Rattus norvegicus: one gene and its partners. The main gene of each other region encodes a partner of the protein of the gene in region 2 in a complex. Links are inferred from orthologs where the notes say so. Each region holds a gene or a part of one and is shown on either strand. Other genes may lie near its edges.

Region 1 (4,213 bases), on a different chromosome or scaffold from region 2:
GGTGTAATGGCTTCCCTCTCGTCTTGTGCTTCAATGCCATCACCTCTGGCTTCTCAAAAGTGTGCTGTGCGAGCTGTCCTGGAATATATATCTGAAAACTATACAGATATGTAGATATAAGAAGTTGTTACACATATTTCAGGAAAAAAAAGACAAATTAAATTTCTGGTATTTTTGACAAGTAAATGCCATTTTCTAAATTAGGTCCTGTTTATATGTTCAGCATGAGACACATCTCCTGGTAAAAACAAATGACTCCCTATTTTAATATCCATGGATCTGGCCTATGATGTCACAGGCACCAAAAGAAATTCTATTGGTGAGATCAAAAGTGTCCGAAAGAAAGAAGGGCATGTAACAGGAGCAGGAAACAAAGGGGAGAGTTGGGATCCTTCGATGCCTGCTTAAGTTATTTCTGCAGTAGTAGCAGTCCTAACCTCCCTCCCTGCAGAATGGCTAAGTGATGCCATTACTAAATGTGCCTTCAGAGATCTCTGCACCTTCCCATGGCAGGGCAGGGTGGATCACCCCGTGAGTCTGCAGCTTCCCAGGTCATACTGTTGTGTGTTGAAGGGTGACCCCCTGAAAACAGAAAAATACTCAAGAAACACAAGTCCTGCTGAGAACTGCAGGCTCTTGGTCCACGGAATGGTTGATCTCAGAACAGAACTTTAGGAAATGACCTAACTCAGAAAATGTGTGTGAGACACCAAATCTGCCCCAATTGCTATGATTCAAACGAGCAGCCATTCTGAAGAATACATTATACTTTTGACTTCAGACAGAAAAATTAAAAGTAGGACTACAATAGATCCAGTGCCATCTACGTTTATAATTAATTTTCTAAGTAGATGCTCAAAATTCTGTCAACTGAAAAGATTGCATAGCTAGGCATTGAAGTTCAATTCAGTACAGTAATTGTTAAGGAACTGTGGAATTCTTCAAAGATGTCTATGCTCCAGGGATTTGCTAGGTGCCATCCATCAGAGGTTCGAGTACTGCAGCATGAAGTACAGTTAACACAATCCTGGGAGACTGAACTCTCCCAGGATATAAATATCAATCTTAGCAGATTTACTTTGAATACAACCTCAAACCTCACATATTGGGGTTTTGCACTGCATTACTGCAAACCACAGGTATGTTCTGCGTGATGACTTAAGTGTGTGGCCTTAACGGTGGCAAAAGTTCCCTTCGAGTACAGTTCTGATGGGCCATTTCACGTCATTAGGGCTCCTGTTACACATAGGATGCTGAACAGGTCTTGGGCTGTCTAGCAACCTAGTGATTGACATGGAGTTCAGCAAGATTTTTGAAGGCTTCCATGAAATGCATGCACTTAAAACAGAAGTCTGCCACTTCTGTTTCACTAAATCACTTCCACTCTTCCTCTAATGATAACAATTACTAACAGGACTTGTTGCAAGACTATTTCCCAAAATGCACTGTGGGAGGACATTCTATTGAAGTCTCGAGAATAGTACGTCAGAAAGCCAATGACAACTTGCTTCCTTCTATTTCCAGGTAATCTTAAGTGTATTTTCTAAGGTATGAGTCCCATCTGCTGTACTTGGGTAACTAACTACTCACATTACAAAGATTTTAAACAAAAAAGTAAAATAAAACAAACAAACAAAAAACAAAAATCCTACCATGTTCCACCCAAAATGTTGAAGATGTCGCAGGATTCCCTAGGATGGTTCAACTCGCAAAGCAGATACACTGGTCTCAACCCAGTAAACATAGCACTGTGCACTAGCTATTTCTGAAGCATTGTGACTGGACAGTTAGCAGCCACTCCAGCCTACAGTCTTAGAGACCTTTGTTACCCTAAAAGGACCTTATTCTCCAGTAGTGCTGAAGGTTGGGCGTTTGAGCATAGTTAAAGAGGAGGTGTGACTGCACCCCAGGACACACTACAGCTTCCTAAGGCCACGATAAACAGCTGCCGTCTTGCACCCTTTCCAGAACACTTGGTTGTGCTGTGTGGGTGGCAACTTGAAGGTTTCCAAGAACTTTCCGTTTTTGTTTAAACCAACATTTCAGGGTTTTGTCAATCAATAGTTTCGTTTTTTAAAAATAGGGGGGTGGGTGGGTAGGACCTAGAATAGACTTTTAAAAACATGTTGCAAAGTTGGCCCATCAGCATCGTCTTGGTTTCTGGAGATACTGAGCTGGTGGCTCAAGCGATAAGCAGAGACAGTTGGCATCACACCTCATCAAGGGGACAACGAGAACCCCTGCAGAGTGCCTGAGTTGCTGCAAAAGCCCCTGCCTGGGACCAGAGAGACCACTCCTTGGAAGAAATGCTGGGCAGAGCCCAAACCCCATGGTCTGGAAGACCTTAGCTACCACGCAGTAAAAGAAAGCACCTGTGCCCCATGACCCAGATGTTAAAGATAAGAAAATAAAAACCTGCACGCTGGTAACTGTGATGCAAGGAAGACAAGATTGCGGTACCCAGGGGCTCCTGGTATCCACTATGTCCAGGGCCCAGAGCCAACCCCCGCCCACAAGAGCCACCCGGAAAGGGGGACACAAGGACTCACAGAAAGGAGGAGGCGCTGGGAAAGGAGGGGAGGCAGGGAGACTGAAGGGACTCAGAGGGCCTCCAGGGGACCCCACTCACCCGCGCGGGCACCAGTAGGTGACTAGGACGCCCGCGGGGGGCGGCCAGGGACTGCGATCCCTCGGCGCTCATCGCCGCCCACGCGGCTAGGCGTGCGCTTCGGGCTCCGGAGCTCCTAAGTCCAGCGCCTGCACGGCGCCCGCGCCCCTCTGTGGACAGGCTGGGGCGGACAGAGCCAGCAGCCACTGCGCTAGCAAGCAGGGCAGGCTCGGAACCCCGCCCACCTCCCAGCAGCCCGGCCCCTACTACTCTGTTCACCGCCCACCAAGTCCCGCCCGTTACCATCAAGCCCCGCCTTATGCCCGGTAACCCCGCCCACCAGCTCTGCCCTTCCACCTCCAGTCAGTGATGATGGTTGTACTGGTTTGTGAGAACTGTAAAGCCAGCTCCCACCTCCGTGCGGGGACCATCACTTCCCCCAGCTTGGCCAGCAAAGTACAGAGCTGAAACAGGCTCAGATGCGCGCCTCCCTTAGGGTTGGAAGGCTAACCGGGCACCTGGGCCATTGGGGACCAATAAGCTATTCCCAGTGGATTCTGGTGGTATCATCACTAGTACTTACAGATGCTTCCTGGTCACTTCTGCTGGCAAAGCTTGTTAGATTCTGAGTGTGGTGGTGCTTTATCCTGACAGCAGCCTTGGGTCCTTTTTCCGGATTTCCACACCATAACCTAGCCTGGCTACCCTAAGGATCTACTTTCTGGGGAAAAAAAGAAAGCATTAGTGGTCTCCATTCCTGTATGCCTGTCTTTTCCTCTCGTGGCATCTACTTAAGCTACAAGCTCCACTCTGAGGGCAGTCTAGGTTCTGTGCCCCCAATTTTACTCTGTCTCCCACACTTTCCAAAGAGGCTCCAACGTAGTCACCAGTCTAAGTTGAAAGTGTCTTTTATTAGATCAGATTTGTGTCAAAAGAAATATCTTAAAAGTGATATTGGGACCCCTAGCTACTATCACTTACAGGCATGGATGCACCAGTGGACAGCATCCTGAGATGCTTATCTTGACTTTACTGCTGCACTGTCAGGAAAAACTGGCAGTCTAAGGTGGGGTTTTCATGGTCATGGCTCACGATGGACAGACAAATGTGGAGCAAACCATTCGCAGCTGAAACCTGAGTGGCCCTGGGTTTGTGACCCAGCGGTACAGGAGCAAGGCTTTCCAGGTTCCCAAGTCTTATTCACCCTCTGCCTACAATTCCACAGCTTTGGTTCATGAAGTTGCATTCTGAAAAGTACATGAGTTCAATCTCTGAGAAATCAGAGGTCTGAAGATAGACCTCTACCTAAATTACAAAGGGAAGATTCATCCTGTAGTCTGAAGGAGAGGTAAGCATGTACCTATTCATCCTGTTAGAGTTGGTAGACTGGATACAAGTTCAAATTTTGCAGGTAAAAACAAACAAAACAAAACAAACAAAGAAAACAAAAACATGGGCATCTTCTGCTGAAAGCTAAGCTAATTATTAATTTGGTAAATACTGTGTCTTTCTTGGTGCTCACTGAAACCCTTTCTGTGTTCACTCCATGGTCCTTGATTCAGGATACTTGACACACACTGGGGCTGCTGTGGGAAGCTATACAAC
Region 2 (3,500 bases):
CTGAGGACTCCAGCATTCTCTGACCATCATAGATGAGACCAGCGCCCACTGTCCAGCAAGACGGGAGCCCAAACGGGTGGTGGGCCCTGAAATAAATGTTGGCAGAACCCAGCCTTGAGGCTTGCTTGTCTGGAGAGCTGGTGGGTGAGGTCGCAGCCTGATGACGAGGTCTCTGGCAGGTGTATGACGACAGTAAGCACGTATACCTGGTGACAGAGCTGATGAGGGGCGGGGAGCTGCTGGATAAGATCCTACGGCAGAAATTCTTCTCAGAGCGGGAGGCCAGCTTCGTCCTGTACACCATCAGCAAGACTGTGGAATACTTGCACTCCCAAGGGGTAAGTCTCCGTGAGAGGAGTTGGGGGTGTCCAAGGTCGTGACCTGGGTAGAATGCAAGAACTGGCTGGCTCATGAGGGACCGTCTCCAAATTGCCAGTCAGAGGGGACTCCGGTTGGGTAGGTGGCTGGCTGTAAGAGGAATGGGGAGATGAGGGCTGGCTCAAGACCATTTGTCCAGAACCTACTGTGTGCCACACCTAGTGTGTGCCGCACACCAGGACAAGTGTAAGAGAAAGTTTCCTTGGTTCTTTCAGTGGGATTTTCACCAAATCCTGAATTAGATGTTTGATTGGTTGAATGACCTGTCAGGTTACTGGCACTTGACAGATCAAAAGTCTGAAGGTTGGGGTTGGGGATTTGGCTCAGTGGTAGAGCGCTTACCTAGGAAGCGCAAGGTCCTGGGTTCGGTCCCCAGCCCTTGGGGGGGGGGGGGGAGTCTGAGGGTTGGAGCTGTACAGTCTTTTTCCCAGGATCAGACAACCGGGGAAAATGGTGACCAGAAGTTGCAAGGAGGGGTAGATTTTTGTTTGGAAGATGCAGGGTATTCGAGAGGATGACCCAGGTACTAAGAGAGAGAGAGAGAGAATGGGTGGGGCCAAAGAGCAGGGTATGGCTTTCTTTGTTGATGTTGCTTTGGTGGGTAAGCTGAGTGGGCGGTTCAAGTTCCTCATAGTGGTTCTCTCTTGGCTTGGGTGATGTTTTGGGGAGCGTCTGATCAGACAGTGAAGGGTTAACAGTGATGGCAGTCTGGTGTCCTGAGCCTTTGATCTCAGCACTCAGGAGTCAGAGGTCAGCCTGATCCAACTAGTGACACCTTATTTCCAAAGAGGAAAAAAGTATAGGAAGTTAGACATGGCTTCCCACCTGTAATCACTTGAGAGGCCAAGGGAGGAGGAGCATCACATGTTAGAGTTAGGCCTTGGGTATGTGCCACCACCACGTCACACATCTACAAGTATGTAGTATGTATGTATGTATGTATGTATGTATGTATGTATGTAGTATATGGATGTATGATGGATGTGTGTATGTAGTGTGTGCGTATAGCATGTATGTAGTGTGTATGTGTGTGTAGTGTATGTAGTATGTATGTGTGTAGTGTGTGTGTGTGTGTGTGTGTGTGTGTGTGTGAGCTTGCATTTGATTAGGCGAGTATGCGGGCTGGTATGCATACGTGTGCTTGAGTGTAGAGATCTGAGGTTGACGTTGGATGTTGTCCTTAGTCACGCTACATTGTGTATATACTGAGGCAGGGTCTCGAGTTGTTCCAGGACTGTGCTGACTAGCCAAGCAATTTATCTTCAGATCCATCCCTGTCTCCGCTTCCTGAGTGTTAGGATTACAGGGATCCTGCTGTGTCTGCCCAGTGTTTACATGGCGCCCTCTTTTGCTTTCTATTGCCGTGACAAGGAGAAAAAGGTTTATTTGGATTATACTTCCCACGCCACAGTCCAGTTGAGGGAAATCGAGGCAGGAACTGAAGCAGAGACCACGGAGAAGCATTGCTGACTGATTTGCTCACTGTGGCTTGTTTAGCTTGTGTGTGCGTGCGCACACGTGCGTGCATGAGTGTGTGGGGGGGGTGTTTTCCCTGCAAACATGTCTGTGTACCACATTTAGTTCCCTAGTGCCTGCATTGGCTAGAAGAGGGCATCGGGTCTTATAGAAATAGAATTACAGACTGTCGTGAGTATAACCCAGAACTATGTGCCCAGTAGGCTACACGGAGAAATCCTGTCTCCAAAAAACAAAACAAAAAAATGCTATGTGCGTGTGAGCGAAGGTGCACACTGCCGGCCAGAAGAGGGCAGGTGTGAGCCACCAGTCATGGGGCTCGGCATCAACATTAGTCTTCTGGAAGGGCAGCTAGTGTTCTTAACCATCTCCTCAGGCCTGCCTCAAAACAAACAAATATAAGAAGGGTACCATGCAGCCTGCCTCTGACTAGCCACATTGAACAGGAATTGATGCTTGACCTGGAAATACCTGTAGATGAAGAATTTTTGTTTTTGAGGTAGGGCCTTCTATATCCTAGACCTTTAATTCTTGTACTCAAAAGGCAGAGACAGACAAATCTTTATGAGATCAAGGACAGGCTGATCTACATAGAGAGACTTTGTCTTCAAATGCATGTGACCTCATCCACCTGGGCCCTGTTTCTTTCGTTCTTTTCTTTTTTTTTTTTTTAAGATTTATTTATTATATTTATATAAGTACACTGTAGCTGTCTTCAGACACACCAGAAGAGGGCATCAGATCTCATTACAGATGGTTGTGAGCCACCATGTGGTTCCTGGGACTTGAACTCAGGACCTCTGGAAGAGCAGCCAGTGCTCTTAACCACTGAGTCATCTCTCCAAACCCAAGATAAACAGGAAAAAAAGGTAAAATAGGAATGGAACATACTTAAGGTGAGAGCAAGGTTTGGCCTCTGCATTTGACCTTCCCCTTTCTCACCTGTAAAGCTATAGGTTCCAGTATTTTCACCCATGAGATTATGAAGCAAGATTCCTCTCAGAGGCCTTGAGACTAGAGAGGCCTCGTTAGGTGAGAGCAGCGACAGCTTTGGCAGCCTTTGCAGCTTTTGTTTTTATTAGTTTTGAGATAAAGTCTTAGAATGTAACCTAGGCTAGCCTAAAATTTGCTATGTAGCCCAGGCTAGTTATGAAGTCACCCTGCAGCCTTGCCAGGCCGACCTGAAACTCACAGAGATCCACCTGCCTCAGCCTTCCCAGTGTTGGGATTACAGACATTATAGCTCTGTACCCAGCTAGAAAACTTAGCTATTACAGGCCACTGAACTTCCAGGAATTCTAGTCTTCTTGGATTTAACTGTGTCTATAGTGGAAGAATTCGAAAGGGGGTTTATCATGACCATGTCTAACCATCGGCATCCAGTTATGTGTTTTAGTGACGGGGTGGGAGTAGGGAATCATGATGTCCTCTGCTCATACCTAGGGCCAAAGCCTCTAGTCCCTGAGCTGGTTCTGTAGAACAGTCAGGCTCTTGTTCATACTTACGATTGGGTTCTTTCGCAGGACCGTTTGGTGACATGGTCTGTATTGGGCATTCTGCTCCAAAGCATTAAAGTAGGACTGGGGCTTGGGGAGGCGGCCAGAATCACTTTTCTACTCAGTGGGACATTGTACTTGATCCTGCAT
Region 3 (4,076 bases), on a different chromosome or scaffold from region 2:
TTTTTATTAACTTAGAATAGCTCTCCAGAAACAGGGCTTGAAGAGCTTAAATATATGCTTAAGTTCTACAGAGGGGATTATCTCTACCCTACAATCCCAACCACTAAGGACTCCGATTCCTCATCCCCCACGCCAACCCCCAGTTATCAGACTGTGAAATTTTATATGCTACCATACAATTATAAACTTTGTAAGTTTCCAGTGCTTATGTATTATTTCTAACAACTGTGGGGATTTGGTTGTATTCCACCAGCTTTGGCAAGTGGAAGGTCTGAGGTTCGTTCACTTAAGGTCTTGAGTACTTGAGATGCCTGCGGAACTTCAGACTTTTCCTCTCAACCCACCTCACCTTTCTGAGCGGCTCCAACTAAGCTCCCTTTATCTAGTAGATTCTCAAGTCTGTGACCAAAGAGGAACTCATTGGAAACCACTGAAAAGTAAACGAAACCGCTAGGGCCACTGCTGCACTAGCCTCTTGGCGGTGGGGGCTGTTCTTTCTGTCCCAGCCTCTTCAGCGCTGATTACTGCACCCAGCCTCTGGGCGGCGAATTCCGAGGTGGCCGGCGCGCCCACACGTGTGCAGGACCCGCACCCTGCGGTGATCTTTACTCCCCAAAGCAGTCCTTAGGGTTCTCGGCTCTCCCAGAAGCTAAAAGGGGCTGGCCGCTGCCGCCCCTTTGCTGGAAGGACAATGAGAAGTCTTAGGTAGAAGACTCGCTCACCGACAGTTTTCTCCTTGTCCTAAAAAGTTGGCCCCAAAGTTTAACGGTGGGCGCGGAGAGAAATGCAGAGGGTGCGTGGGTCTTGCTGGTTCGGGTCCTCAGCGTCACACAGACAAGAGCCAGGCTCCGCCATGTGGACTTGAACCCCTGGGCCGGGAGCAGGCGCGGAAATGAGGCGGAAGGCAGTGGGGCCGCGAGAGAGATGGCGTGGCCACCGAGGGCGAGGAGGGAACCTGGCTGGCAGGCAAGAGTGTGAGCCCCCCGCCGAATTGGTCTCCCAGCCCCCACCTGTTTGAAAGGATTTGTTAAGCACCAAAGCCACATTTCCTGCGTTACGAGAGCTGGAGTGGGGCACGCGCACGTGTTCCCCAAAAGGCTCTGGCTGGGCCGACGGCACAGGAAAAGTAGGAATTCTAGGGGTGCAGATACAGGAGCAAGTTGGCGTCAATGGAAGGTCGGCCCTAGGACCCCGCGGGAGGCGCGTTGGAATCTCTCCCTTCCAGGAGGAGGGGTGGGGCGGGCCTGCCCGCGGGCGGCCGCCGAGCGCATGCGCGCGCGCCTCCTATCCAGCCGGCCGCCGCGCTCCGCCGCGCGGAGTAGAATGAACTGTAACAAAACAAGCAGAGCCTTTGTATCTGCTTAAAGGGGCCGCGGCCACTTCCCTCGCGTCCCCTCACCCCCGCCCCGCGCCGCCGCGTCTCCAGGGCTCCCGGCAACTAGCTTGGAAAGGGCTTCCCTCGCGCTGAGGAGCGGCCGGCGGGCGCGGAGCAGGCGCGGCGCGTGTGGAGAAAGCTGCGGAGCAGAGAGCGGGCCCGGGCGGCGTCGGAGTGGACTCTGGTCCCGGGAGCGCGATCGGCGCCGGAACGCGGACCCGGAGGCACCGGAATGCAAACAAAGCTCGCGGGCGCCTGTGCAGGGCTCTCAACGGAGCCCGGAAAGTTTGTTTTATGATGGCTTGAGAGCGCGAGAGAGTCGGGCGAGGAGGCTCGAGTAGCTCGCTCCCGCGCTCCGAGAGAGAGATGCTTCTCCCGTGAGCCCGCCGCTCCGGGGGCTCGTGCTGTGGGGGCACCTGTCTCTCGTTTTAGCAGTTTTCCTTTTTTTTTCTTTAATTTTAATTTTTCTTTTGAGGAGGGGCTGTAACTCATCATGTCGAAAGTGATCCAGAAGAAGAACCACTGGACTGGCCGCGTTCACGAATGCACCGTGAAGCGGGGACCCCAGGGCGAGCTGGGGGTGACGGTGCTGGGGGGCGCGGAGCATGGGGAGTTTCCGTACGTGGGGGCGGTGGCGGCGGCCGAGGCGGCGGGGCTTCCCGGCGGTGGCGAGGGACCGAAGCTGGCTGAAGGTGAGCTGCTGCTGGAGGTGCAGGGGGTCCGGGTGTCCGGCTTGCCCCGCTATGACGTGCTGGGAGTCATCGACAGCTGCAAGGAGGCCGTCACCTTCAAAGCCGTCAGACAAGGTAAGACGGGCGTGTCTTTGGGGGGGCGCACCCCGAAGAAGAGGGGAGGCCTGAGGGGGCGCCGTTTGCTCCGAGTGCTGTGAGCCAAAGTTGAGGCCCGGGCCAGATGAACTCAAAGTTGTGCGGTTGTGGGCTGCGCGCCCACCTGCGTGGCGGCCAGGGGCCGGGGTTGCGCCGGGAAGCGGGGAGATGCTTCCCAGGCCTGGTTTGCCAACTTCTTGTCGTAGCCACCTAGTGCTGCGCAGCTTCGTCTGCACCTTAAGGCAGATGGGTAACTGAGGCAAGCTAAGGTGGACGCTTTCCACAGCCCCTTATGGGATAGATGAGCTCACCGAGCTGGTGGCTTGCCATTGCTTGTGTTCCCTGAACTGGAGAGTGGGTCGTGGAAAGGGAGGGTCTATTTATGGTTGACTGGAATTCTTACTTCACAAAATTGCCTTCACCCTGCAAGCCCTCCAGGTGAGGTTGGGTTATGACCCCCTAGAGTCCTTAATCTAGCCGCCTGCAGAGCCTGCATTCACCCCACAGCGGGGTGACGTCTGTGTCTCCTCCTTGTGGAGACCTACGGTGGGGGAAGGGGTGTTTAGCTCTTGGCGCGAATCTAGTCCAAGTTTACCCAGCCGCCGCCTCCCCTTGCACTGTCGTCCTTATTGATGATGATTGTTGAGAGATTACAATTCATTGTTAGCGTGCTATATGAGAGGCTCTCTGTAAAGTGGTTTAATTGCATTATCTCATTGTGATTCACAACAATGCTATAAGATCGACTTGTTTTTGTAAGTCCTATATTACAAAAAGTAAGCCGGAGCTGACCTAGGTAAATGACTTGCCCAAGGTCACACAACTACTAAAGTGTATGGGTCTTTTCTGTTAAACCTTGAGCGAGGAGGAGGAGGGCTTGAGGGGATGACTTAAGGGGCCTGAGTTTTGGGGTGTGTGTGGGAGAAGCAAGGCCTCTCTTAGAAGTCTGTAGGGTAGGGATGGCTTTCTAAAAGACGCATTTGATGACTCCCTCGCAGTTTGGTCTGAGCAATGGTCTGCTCTCTGTCTGGCTACCGGAGCATAGCTGCAGTACTTAAAGGCATCCCTCCTGCACCCGAGTGCTGTGACGCAGGTTCTCCCAGATGAAAGCACCAGAGGAGGTGGCAGAGTTGAATGTGGTGAAAAGTTGCCATATGTTCCTGTCAGGATGGCAGCAGCTGAAGGAAACGTGTCAAAGGAAAGCCTGGGAGAGCCAGCTCTCTCCAGCAGCAGGCCTCTTCCAGATGACCTGAGGATGAGTGCAGTATTGTGTGTGGTTAGCCCAGTAGCCCGGACTTTCTACCGTGTTGGGAGCGCAGAGGCTGACACCTAACAGTGGAATGTCCTTATCTTGCTGCTTGGCCTTGTCTGATGACTATGTCCTTAGGAGTTTCTCCTAGGACCGTAACCCAGGAAGTGTGCACAGCAGTGCTGGTTCACAGTAAGTGCTCAGTAAAAGTGAGTTATGGTTGTATGTTGTATTAGAGTTGAATTTAAGCAGTTAGGAATTCAGTTTTTAGCTAGGAATTTAGTGCCAGTTCCCCGGGTGATAATGACTTGGTTAGGGCTGTTGAGAAAATACTGTGACAGGCATTTATTTATTGGGGGGTAACATTGGGTTTGAGTTCAGGCTCATTTTGCAGAAAGATTTCTCATCCAGCAGGATGTCTGGGTGGTGGTTAATGGGTCCTAAGATCTGTTGGCCATGGGCAAGAAGCTGCCAGAAGCTTAGCTCTTCCTTCCACTGTTTTGCAGAGATCCTTGATGCTGGCGCCTTCCCTTCTTCCCCCAACCCTCTGTCTCTCCTGTGAGCACTCGCCCTTCATTGGTGGAACTGGGGGAAAGATGCCTGTGGATTTGACAGTTACTGTAGT
Region 4 (4,149 bases), about 140 Mb from region 2:
AAACATGCAAAACAGCAAAGAAAACCCATTTATTTGCAGGGGTTGACACAACAGACAAACAGCCTTTAAGCAAGCAATTTTCATTCTCTGACAAAAAAATAGGGCACCTTAAAAAACTTATTTGTACAAACCCGTACTTGTTTGCGTGGATACCAGAAACACGTGTTTGCCTTGGTAAAACGAAGGGGAAACGTAATTTACCGTAACCCCAGTGGATTTGTTTCTCCAGGAAACGGAGAAAACAAAGCAGATCTTTTAAAATTAGCTCCTAGTCCCAAATTGCATCGTTCTGTAGCGTTATCTCAGCGTGCTCAAGCGCAGCACCAACCGGACAACCTTTGGACTAGAGTTCAAACGTGGAGAGAGTGAGGGCAAGCTTGGTCCCTTGAGCTTTTCCTGTGAGGGGTAACTCCACAAGCTTCACAAAGCATCCCGAAACGGGGCGACACTTCTAGAAGGAGACTGAGGTTGCAGCTGCTGCAAGGAATGGCGCCAGACCAGGGAAAGGAGGGTCTGTGCTGGAAGAAGGACTCTACATGCACTTCTCCGGAACTCCCTAGTTTCCCTCCGGGAAGTGGCCTGGCCCTTGGCCCTGCTGTAGCCTCCAGAGCCCACCCTGCAGCCCGGTGAACCTCACAGAATGCCGCCCGGTGAGCCGGGACCCGCAGGCGCAGCGACCCGGGCCGAGGGGGAGTAGAACCCCATAGAGGGACACGCGTGCAATCACTCCACGAATTCCCCAGAGCCGTCGGAGGAGGAGATGAGCGAGCATCCAGAAGCACTGCGTGCCCACGCGCTGTCCCCACGCTAAGCCCCAACGCCCCTCGGTCGGAACAAACTCGGGGTGCATAAGTCTGTGCTACACAAGTTCTTTGGCTGGAGCTGGGCGCTGCCCAGGCTCGCGTTTGTGGTGCGCTCTTCAGCCTTACCACGGTCACCCGGAGCGCCGCAAGGGCGCTGTGTTAGGCAGCTTGCCCCATTCTCCACTATGTGTATCTCAATTTCCCCATCTCGCTCCATTCGTGCCTGTACCGGTTGCCTTGCGTGGGCGGTTGAGCCTCGGCGGCCTCCTATTGGGCCACCAACTCGAACCCGGGTCCAGCTCTAAGGCAAGCTTCTCTGCTGGAGTGGGGTCAGTAAGGCGCCATTAGAAGCCTGACCACTGAGCTTCTGAGACGTCCCCGGGGACGTCTCAGTCTGGTACCTAGGCCTTGCGGGATCCTTTTAGGGATGGCTTAGCAGCTCTGCTTACCTGATCCACTACCCTTATCCAGTCTTTTGTGCGGCGACACGCCCCCGCCCCTGCGGGAACCCAGCGGTGGGCGGTGGGAGGGCGGGCGCTGGAACGCAAGCTCCCTGGCCCTGCCGCCCGCGCCGAGTCCCGCGGCCGCGACTAAGCTCTCTGCCGCGCTACAATCTCTTGGAAACAAAGGTATTCTTCCTGGCCCTTCCACGGCTTCTGCATTCTCTGGCAAGAGTCTGTCTGTGTATCTGGGAGCTGAGCATCCTGACTCTGTCGTCTCGGAATTCCACCTAGAGCTTCGAAAATGTGAACGTGTCCCCGCTCTGGCTGGGAAGCAAGATCGCGGGGGACCCCCGAAATAGCCCTTATCATCTTATGTAATTAAGGACCCACGAGCTTCCCAAAGCACCTCTACAGTCTCCACAGTGTTCAGCTTCTCTCCTCCTCCCCCTTCTCTCTCCTGTCTCTTTCTCTCTAACCCCACCTCCCTGTGAGCGCTTGTGCGCGCGCCCGTGTTCGTGCGTTCTTTTTCATTTCTACCTTTAGGAAACCTACTCAGAGCCGCTGTGAACTCAGAAGAGGCTCAGCTCTTGTTTTCCCACGGATTCCTGCCTCTCTGGAAACGCTGCCAACGTATACACATGAGGGTATCAAGCTGGAGAGATCATTAATCCCCGAGTAGTGAAACACGGCGGAGAAACGGCAAAGCTGGAAGTCTGGAAGCGGCCTTAGCAGGAGTGTAGGGTCTGGAGTGGGCTAAGGGGGTCCTGTCCCCCTCGCTTCAGCACCGGAGGGGATGGACAGCGTCTCCCAGCTGCGTAGCTGCCTGGGGGGACCCAACTGTGTTGCTGCTGCTGCCTTTGCTGCTGTCCTCGCGGCCACAGTCTTCAACAAGAGCTCTTAGCAGCTAAAAGGCGGTGCCTCCAGTCCCCTTCTTTGATGGATGAAAACCAGCCCTTCTCATCCTCTGCCACTTATATCTACTCGGCTCCACGGAGTTAAACTCTAGGCAGCAACTTTACGCAGAATTTTCTAAACGGAACTGGGGGGAATGCAGGCAGAAGAGTGGAGTTGAAGTTCTTAGAGGCACCAAGGAGCCATGGGCGCTGCAGTAGGAATTGAAATACTCAAAGGCCCACAGTTTTTAAAATAAGCACGTCCCTGAGTGGATTGCAGCTGCTGTGGAGATAGCTTTGTGAGAGGTCGGAGATTCTAAACCCCGACGTTAAAGAAGTGGAGTAAAAGGCGTCGACACCTCTGCTCAGCAGGTACGTGATAATACTTTCTCCTCTGCGTTTAACACACACTAAGGACTTTGCAAGGTTTAAAAGAAAAGATGCAAACATCACATGTTGAGGATTAAGGAAAATGAGTTCTTCTGTTTGTTTAAAAATAATAATTCCTAAATTAATATCTTAGAAAAAAATTTCTTATGTCTGGAATTTTACTTTTCTGGAATCTCTTGACGAAGGTGACAACAATATGTAGCTGACTTCCATTAGCATAGCAAACTTTTACTTGGACATTTTCTGCCTTCTTAACTAACAGCTTTGGGGATCCCTATGTGTTTTATTGTTTTCTTTAAAACTAATGTCCACTGGTGCTTAGTGATCATGCGTATTCAGTGAAAAGCGATTCTGGTTGTGTTGCATTGCCTCTGAAATACATATTTGAAATATATATCAAAAAGTTGGAAATGGCTCAATCACCTCTTCTAGTATTTTAGATTATTATAATTTGCTAAAATATTTACAGGCACAGAATATGTATACACCAATATCTGATCTCTTTTGTAGTCAGAGCCCCCAAGTGTAGCTAGACCTTAGACTTATCAACAGATATTTCAAGGCAGGAAGTGAGCAGCTTTCTTGTGCATCTGTAGGAGAGTGGGGGTTCCCTCAACATCCTGACTGATTAGTTCTACAAAACGTACTTGTTTCTGAAATCAAGTGACAGAGACTAGTTATTAACAGACCATAAATCTTAACATGATAATTAATTTTTTGATACTTCTTTCTAGACTCTTCCTCTAAAGCTTTAAGATTACAGCTTCTACAGTGACCTTGATAAGCATTGGGCTTTAATGAAAAGGGTTTTCTGAGTAAAAAGCTGTTATACAAATGTATAGTCCATGGCTGGCATTTCAGAAAGAACTCATTCAATTCCACTGAGCGCATTCTGCTCAACGGAGAGCTTTGACTCACAGGAATGATTCTCATAGTCATGACGGCATATGCTTAGCCGAGTCTGTGGAAAGAGTTTGTCTTGAAAAACTGCAGGAGTTTGGAAGGATTTTTTTAAAATAATTTATAAACCATGTATAGCCCCCCCCCAAAATACCTTTACATCTCATCCACAGTAGCTCTCACTTTCTTGATTTGAACACCTAATCTCCTCAGCCAGGCTGGTACTTGTTGGTAGACTAATGGTTGCCTGTTTTATAGTGACCGGGAGAGAGTAACAGTTCTACTCAGAGGACTTGTCATTTTTAACTGTCACTCACCACGTAGCTGCCTGCATCGCCGATAGAGAGCGGTAGCTCCTTGGAGGCATGCTTGCCCTAGATAGGTCAGAAATGATCTTCGGAGGACTAGAAGGCTGCAGCAGTTGATGTGGATTCTTCCTGTGGACCCCCTTTCATCTTCTACTTTAAGAAATGTGGAAGCAACCTACCACGTGGGAGATGGCATCACATTTTGCAGAGTTATACAGCTCATGACAAGACTATTATTTTGGTCCTTAATTAATTAGTGTAGACGGACTCCCCAAGTCAGTGGAGCATAAAATGAAATGTGGGAATGTGTTCTGGAATGAAGCCGGTGTGTCTTGTTGACCGCAGTTCCCTTCTCAGTGGTGGAGGGGGCAGGCTTTCTCTATGTAGAACAGCAACTGAATAACCTAAAAGT
Region 5 (4,000 bases), on a different chromosome or scaffold from region 2:
GGTCCTAAGTTCAATTCCCAGCAACCACTTGGTGGCTCACAACCATCTGTAATGGGATCAGATGCCCTCTTCTGGTGTGTCTGAAGACAGTGACAGTGTACTCACATACATAAAATAAATAAATACCTTTAAAAAAAGACCTAACAAAGCTCATTTTCATATGAATTAATATATCCGTTTAAGATTTTAAATAAAAACATGAGGTTTTTTTTGGATGAGGTGGGGGCAAACAAAAAAAATAGACTGAGGGGTTGGGGATTTAGCTCAGTGGTAGGGCGCTTGCCTAGCAAGCACAAGGCCCTGGGTTCGGTCCCCAGCTCCAAAAAAAAAAAAAAAAAAAAAAGTAGACTGTAAAATTCATCCGGATTAAAGGTATCCCTGTACCAACTGTTTTGAAAAGTAACAGTGAAGCGACCTTGCAGCAACACGGACTCCAAGGTCATATGATTCTCCTGGCATGCTGACAAAGGGAGACCAAGGCACAGCCCAGCGTTCTGTGCTTACTCATTAGCCTGGCCTCAGAGTACAGCAGCTTCTTTGTGAACAGGCATGCGTGCCTGCGAGAAGCAAACAGCCTTCAAGAGAGCACCTGATGCAGCAGCCACAGCCTGGGGAATCGGGGATGGCTGCTCAACTCTCTGAGAGAGAGGCGGCCTTGGGCTCATTTCAGAGACCAGCTACTTAGGCAGAGACAGCTCCTGGCCTTGAGTTCTGATCCTTAAGCCAGAATCTGCACCGTCATAAGTAAACAAACAAAAGACACTCAAAAGTCATTTCCATGATGAACATATTAGATTTTAGTAACTTCTTACATTTTTTATGAACGATCTCAGCAAGAGAAAGGAAGGTTTTTGGCCTTTGTTGACCCTCTGGTTCCTCAGTTTGCTCGTCTTTTCCAGATACCTGAAGTACCTCCCATAAATAGAACCTGAAGGGATAAGAGGTGATGCTCTCTCTTGGTTTCTTAACTTGTGTTTTCCGTTCTTGTTGGTCTTTTAGCTAAAAAGAAACTCGTGGGGTTGGGGATTTAGCTCAGTGGTAGAGTGCTTGCCTAGCAAGAGCAAGGCCCTGGGTTCGGTCCCCAGCTCCGAAAAAAAGAAAAAAGAAAAAAGAAAAAGAAGAAGAAGAAGAAAAGAAGAAGAAGAAGAAGAAGAAGAAGAAGAAGAAGAAGAAGAAGAAGAAGAAGAAGAAGAAGAAGAAGAAGAAAAGAAACGCGTGTGTGTCTGGGTGTTTTGCAGGCTGGTATGTGTGAGCATGCATGGTGCCCACAGAGAGGCTGGGAGAGTGTCAGATCCCCTGGAACTGGAGTGACAGGCAGTTGTGAGCTGCCAGTGTGGATGCTGGGCTGAGCCATCTCTCCAGCCCTGGTTACCTTTTTTTTTTTTTTTTCCTCTTTTCTTTTTTTTCTTTTTTTCGGAGCTGGCAAAGTGCTAGGCAAGCGCTCTACCACTGAGCTAAATCCCCAACGCCCCTGGTTACTGTTTTTCTTTGTTTGGTTTTTTTATGAAACATTTAGTGGCATGAAAAGAGTGGTGGGGAAGGGAGGGGAAAAGAGGGGAAGGGAGGGGAGGGGAGAGGAGGGGAGGGGAGGGGAGGGGAGAGGAGGGGAGGGGAGGAGAAGCCAGGCGCAGAATTACCTGCCTGTTTTTCCTTTTCAGATTGACACGAGGTCTCACTGTCCCCAAGTTTTCTCCTAAATCATGATCTTCTTGCCTCTACTCTCCCGAGGGTTGGCTCGTACCCAGCACAGTTATTGATTTAAAAAAAAAAAGTCTCCAGAAACTCTGCATCATACTGATATTGCTCAAAGTCCTAACGGCTGGGGGAGGGAAAGGCTAAATGATCTTTTTGTGGATAAGGACTAAGGCTTAAGAACAAACGGTGTCACACCACATCCCATGTGCTAGGAAAGTCCGTAAAATTTGAGTTTTCTCACGACTACATTAGACATTCCAAATTTTCCCCTATTCTTTCAACTAAAGAAGTTAGTTGTCTGTCTCCTAAGACAAATGGAGGAGACTTTATAAAGAAAACACAGGGCTTGAGCTTCTTGGAATGGTACTGCCTGTCCGGGGAGGGGTTCCCCACAAAGACTGCCCCTCCCCAGGAGGGGTAACAGAGAAGTCAGGGCCACTCCCAAACCCTCATTTCTCTGCCCCAATTCATAATGATCTGAAAAGATTCAACTACTTTGCAATTTTTTTTTTTGAGCGGTGTCTGGAGATGTAGTTCTTGGCATTTCAAAGAGGGAAACTGGAAAAGCTCACCTGGGTGCTCCAGGGACCCCCGGGAAAAGCTACCAGGAGAAAGGGAGCGCTGTGGTTGGGGATTTGGGGTGACTCTATTCCAAGAAAGAAAATCCTTCCCTTAGGACGTAGAGAAGAAGCCCTAGATGCCATCTCTGAAAACATCAGTAGTCATTCTGAATCTTGAAAAAATGACCCAAGGGATCTCTGGCTTCACGAAAACAGGGACAGACACAATTCCATGGCAGCACAGATGTCAACAACTGTCACAAGGAAACAAGAAAGGCGGCCTCATCGGAAGCCTTGGAATGCAGCCAAACGTCCCCAAAGGTTTTCTAAAAAGTTTCAAAGCTCAATTCCCATCCTATCCCCTTCACCCCCTCACCCTGCAAAGAGAGAAAGAAGCGGTTTTTCTTGGGTCCTGCCAGTGACTCTTTCTCACCTCCTGGTCACCTTTTGCCGCCGGAGTCCTCTCTGGCTTCGGTGTCCGAGGACTAGGAGGGTAGACAGAGAAGCTCCTTTTTCTTCCTCCAGAGAGGACTGGGTGTGGACTTGGCGCAGTCCGCTGCAGGCTGAGACTGCGACTGCCAATAGGGGCCAAGGTTAGGGAGGAGCTGGACAACCACCGGGCCTGCATACAGGGCCCCATTGAGTGGTACCCTGGGGACCCACTGGGCAGCCACAATTGGATCTGATCTAGAAAGAATATGGGTCTGTTGGGCAGGAAATGTGGAGTCAGCTTCTCTGTGCCGTTTAAATTTAGGATATGAATATTGATGCTGTTCCAGAGGCAAGATTGGGGGGCTGGTGGGAAGAGGGGAGAGACAGCGTGGGTGAATTGATTCAAACAGCAGATACGCAGCCAAGAACTGGAAACTTCTGGTGCTGAGTGCTGGAGGCTGTGTGGCTATGGCTGGCTTCCAAGGAGGCCTCTTGAGCATCTTGCCTGCCTGCCAGCTTTCTGGTCCCCTCCTACAGGTATGCCATGCTGTGGCTGGTGATGCTGGGCAGTGGTTACCCCCAGACTCCTCTTTGAACCCAGTCTTCTCAGGGACCAGGGTGCGGTAAGTTTCTTTCTAACTTAGTACTTTTGCACAGAGGGAAAGACACGCCAGCTGTGTCTTAGGCCTCTCTCCCTTCTCACCCTGGTCAAAGGTTGAGCTGTCTGCACCAGAAATGCTTTAGAGATGGCCCGTCCTGTGCTCTTTTCACATAGGGAAGAAACGCTGTGCCTCTTGTCACAAAGGCACAAAACTAACCCAGAAGACTCCCCAGTGGAGGATAGCTTAGTCACACACGTCCCTTTGCACCTCGAGTCCGGAGTGTCTGTGGGAAGAGCTACATGACAAAAGTCACCCAAATATCACAGAGACCAAGAAGTTGACTCGACATGCTAGAGGTAGAATGAAGTTTTCCTGCCCTGGAATGTAACCTTTTCTTGAGGAAAGGTTAGCTTTGGGGTGGAGGTATAAACCCCTGCTCTGGTTCGACTCACCATTTATCTATAGGAGATCAAAGCCACTGGTCCCCAAAGATTAGGTCCCCTAATCTTCTTAGTCATCAATAGACAATAAAAGGGAGCTGACTGGGGGAGACGGTTATGATAATCATGGCTGGGAAGAGACCCTTACTTTGTGATGTCGCTTGGGGTACCGGATGATCGAGGCTTCTCTGACCCCTCCCTAGCTGTCTTCAGTCAGTTACACTGACTTTAAGTAGAGATCTTCAAACCCGAGTGCATGAACATACACACG

The links. The genes of interacting proteins can lie anywhere in the genome.
Region 1: the proteins of Rps6ka1 (region 2) and Sntg2 are in contact, whole or in part, in a crystal structure (PDB 7QQL), measured with the Homo sapiens proteins. The link is inferred for Rattus norvegicus from reciprocal best matches to the Homo sapiens genes RPS6KA1 and SNTG2. Residues at the interface, in NP_002944.2 of Homo sapiens: Pro731, Ser732, Thr733, Thr734, Leu735; in NP_061841.2 of Homo sapiens: Gly82, Gly83, Leu84, Gly85, Leu86, Ser87, Ile88, Lys89, Gly90, His94, Ser101, Lys102, Phe104, His134, Val138, Leu141, Arg142.
Region 3: the proteins of Rps6ka1 (region 2) and Magi1 are in contact, whole or in part, in a crystal structure (PDB 5N7F), measured with the Homo sapiens proteins. The link is inferred for Rattus norvegicus from reciprocal best matches to the Homo sapiens genes RPS6KA1 and MAGI1. Residues at the interface, in NP_002944.2 of Homo sapiens: Pro731, Ser732, Thr733, Thr734, Leu735; in NP_001028229.1 of Homo sapiens: Arg480, Gly481, Phe482, Gly483, Phe484, Thr485, Val486, Val487, Gly488, Asp490, Lys499, Ser500, His532, Val536, Phe539, Gln540.
Region 4: the proteins of Rps6ka1 (region 2) and Sntg1 are in contact, whole or in part, in a crystal structure (PDB 7PC8), measured with the Homo sapiens proteins. The link is inferred for Rattus norvegicus from reciprocal best matches to the Homo sapiens genes RPS6KA1 and SNTG1. Residues at the interface, in NP_002944.2 of Homo sapiens: Arg728, Lys729, Leu730, Pro731, Thr733, Thr734, Leu735; in NP_001274742.1 of Homo sapiens: Gly67, Phe68, Gly69, Leu70, Ser71, Ile72, Lys73, Gly74, His78, Ile80, Ser85, His118, Glu119, Val122, Leu125, Arg126, Arg141.
Region 5: the proteins of Rps6ka1 (region 2) and S100b are in contact, whole or in part, in a crystal structure (PDB 5CSJ), measured with the Homo sapiens proteins. The link is inferred for Rattus norvegicus from reciprocal best matches to the Homo sapiens genes RPS6KA1 and S100B. Residues at the interface, in NP_002944.2 of Homo sapiens: Ala697, Met698, Ala699, Ala700, Thr701, Ser703; in NP_006263.1 of Homo sapiens: Ser42, His43, Phe44, Leu45, Glu46, Ile48, Val53, Val57, Ala84.

The regions. Positions count from the first base shown.
Region 1 is NC_086024.1:52,728,173-52,732,385, forward strand, and holds the start of Sntg2 (gamma-2-syntrophin), read right to left. Parts: upstream 2,801-4,213; 5' UTR 2,702-2,800; coding exon 2,630-2,701; intron 1-2,629. UniProt on the Homo sapiens protein: Adapter protein that binds to and probably organizes the subcellular localization of a variety of proteins. May link various receptors to the actin cytoskeleton and the dystrophin glycoprotein complex.
Region 2 is NC_086023.1:151,371,065-151,374,564, reverse strand, and holds part of Rps6ka1 (ribosomal protein S6 kinase alpha-1), read left to right. Parts: intron 1-179; coding exon 180-338; intron 339-3,500. UniProt on the Homo sapiens protein: Serine/threonine-protein kinase that acts downstream of ERK (MAPK1/ERK2 and MAPK3/ERK1) signaling and mediates mitogenic and stress-induced activation of the transcription factors CREB1, ETV1/ER81 and NR4A1/NUR77, regulates translation through RPS6 and EIF4B phosphorylation, and mediates cellular proliferation, survival, and differentiation by modulating mTOR signaling and repressing pro-apoptotic function of BAD and DAPK1.
Region 3 is NC_086022.1:128,365,427-128,369,502, reverse strand, and holds the start of Magi1 (membrane-associated guanylate kinase, WW and PDZ domain-containing protein 1), read left to right. Parts: upstream 1-1,276; 5' UTR 1,277-1,868; coding exon 1,869-2,181; intron 2,182-4,076. UniProt on the Homo sapiens protein: Plays a role in coupling actin fibers to cell junctions in endothelial cells, via its interaction with AMOTL2 and CDH5. May regulate acid-induced ASIC3 currents by modulating its expression at the cell surface.
Region 4 is NC_086023.1:14,768,232-14,772,380, forward strand, and holds the start of Sntg1 (gamma-1-syntrophin), read left to right. Parts: upstream 1-1,349; 5' UTR 1,350-2,511; intron 2,512-4,149. UniProt on the Homo sapiens protein: Adapter protein that binds to and probably organizes the subcellular localization of a variety of proteins. May link various receptors to the actin cytoskeleton and the dystrophin glycoprotein complex.
Region 5 is NC_086038.1:12,378,282-12,382,281, forward strand, and holds the start of S100b (protein S100-B), read right to left. Parts: upstream 2,801-4,000; 5' UTR 2,689-2,800; exon of another isoform or gene 1,638-2,688; intron 929-1,637; exon of another isoform or gene 813-928; intron 1-812. UniProt on the Homo sapiens protein: Small zinc- and- and calcium-binding protein that is highly expressed in astrocytes and constitutes one of the most abundant soluble proteins in brain.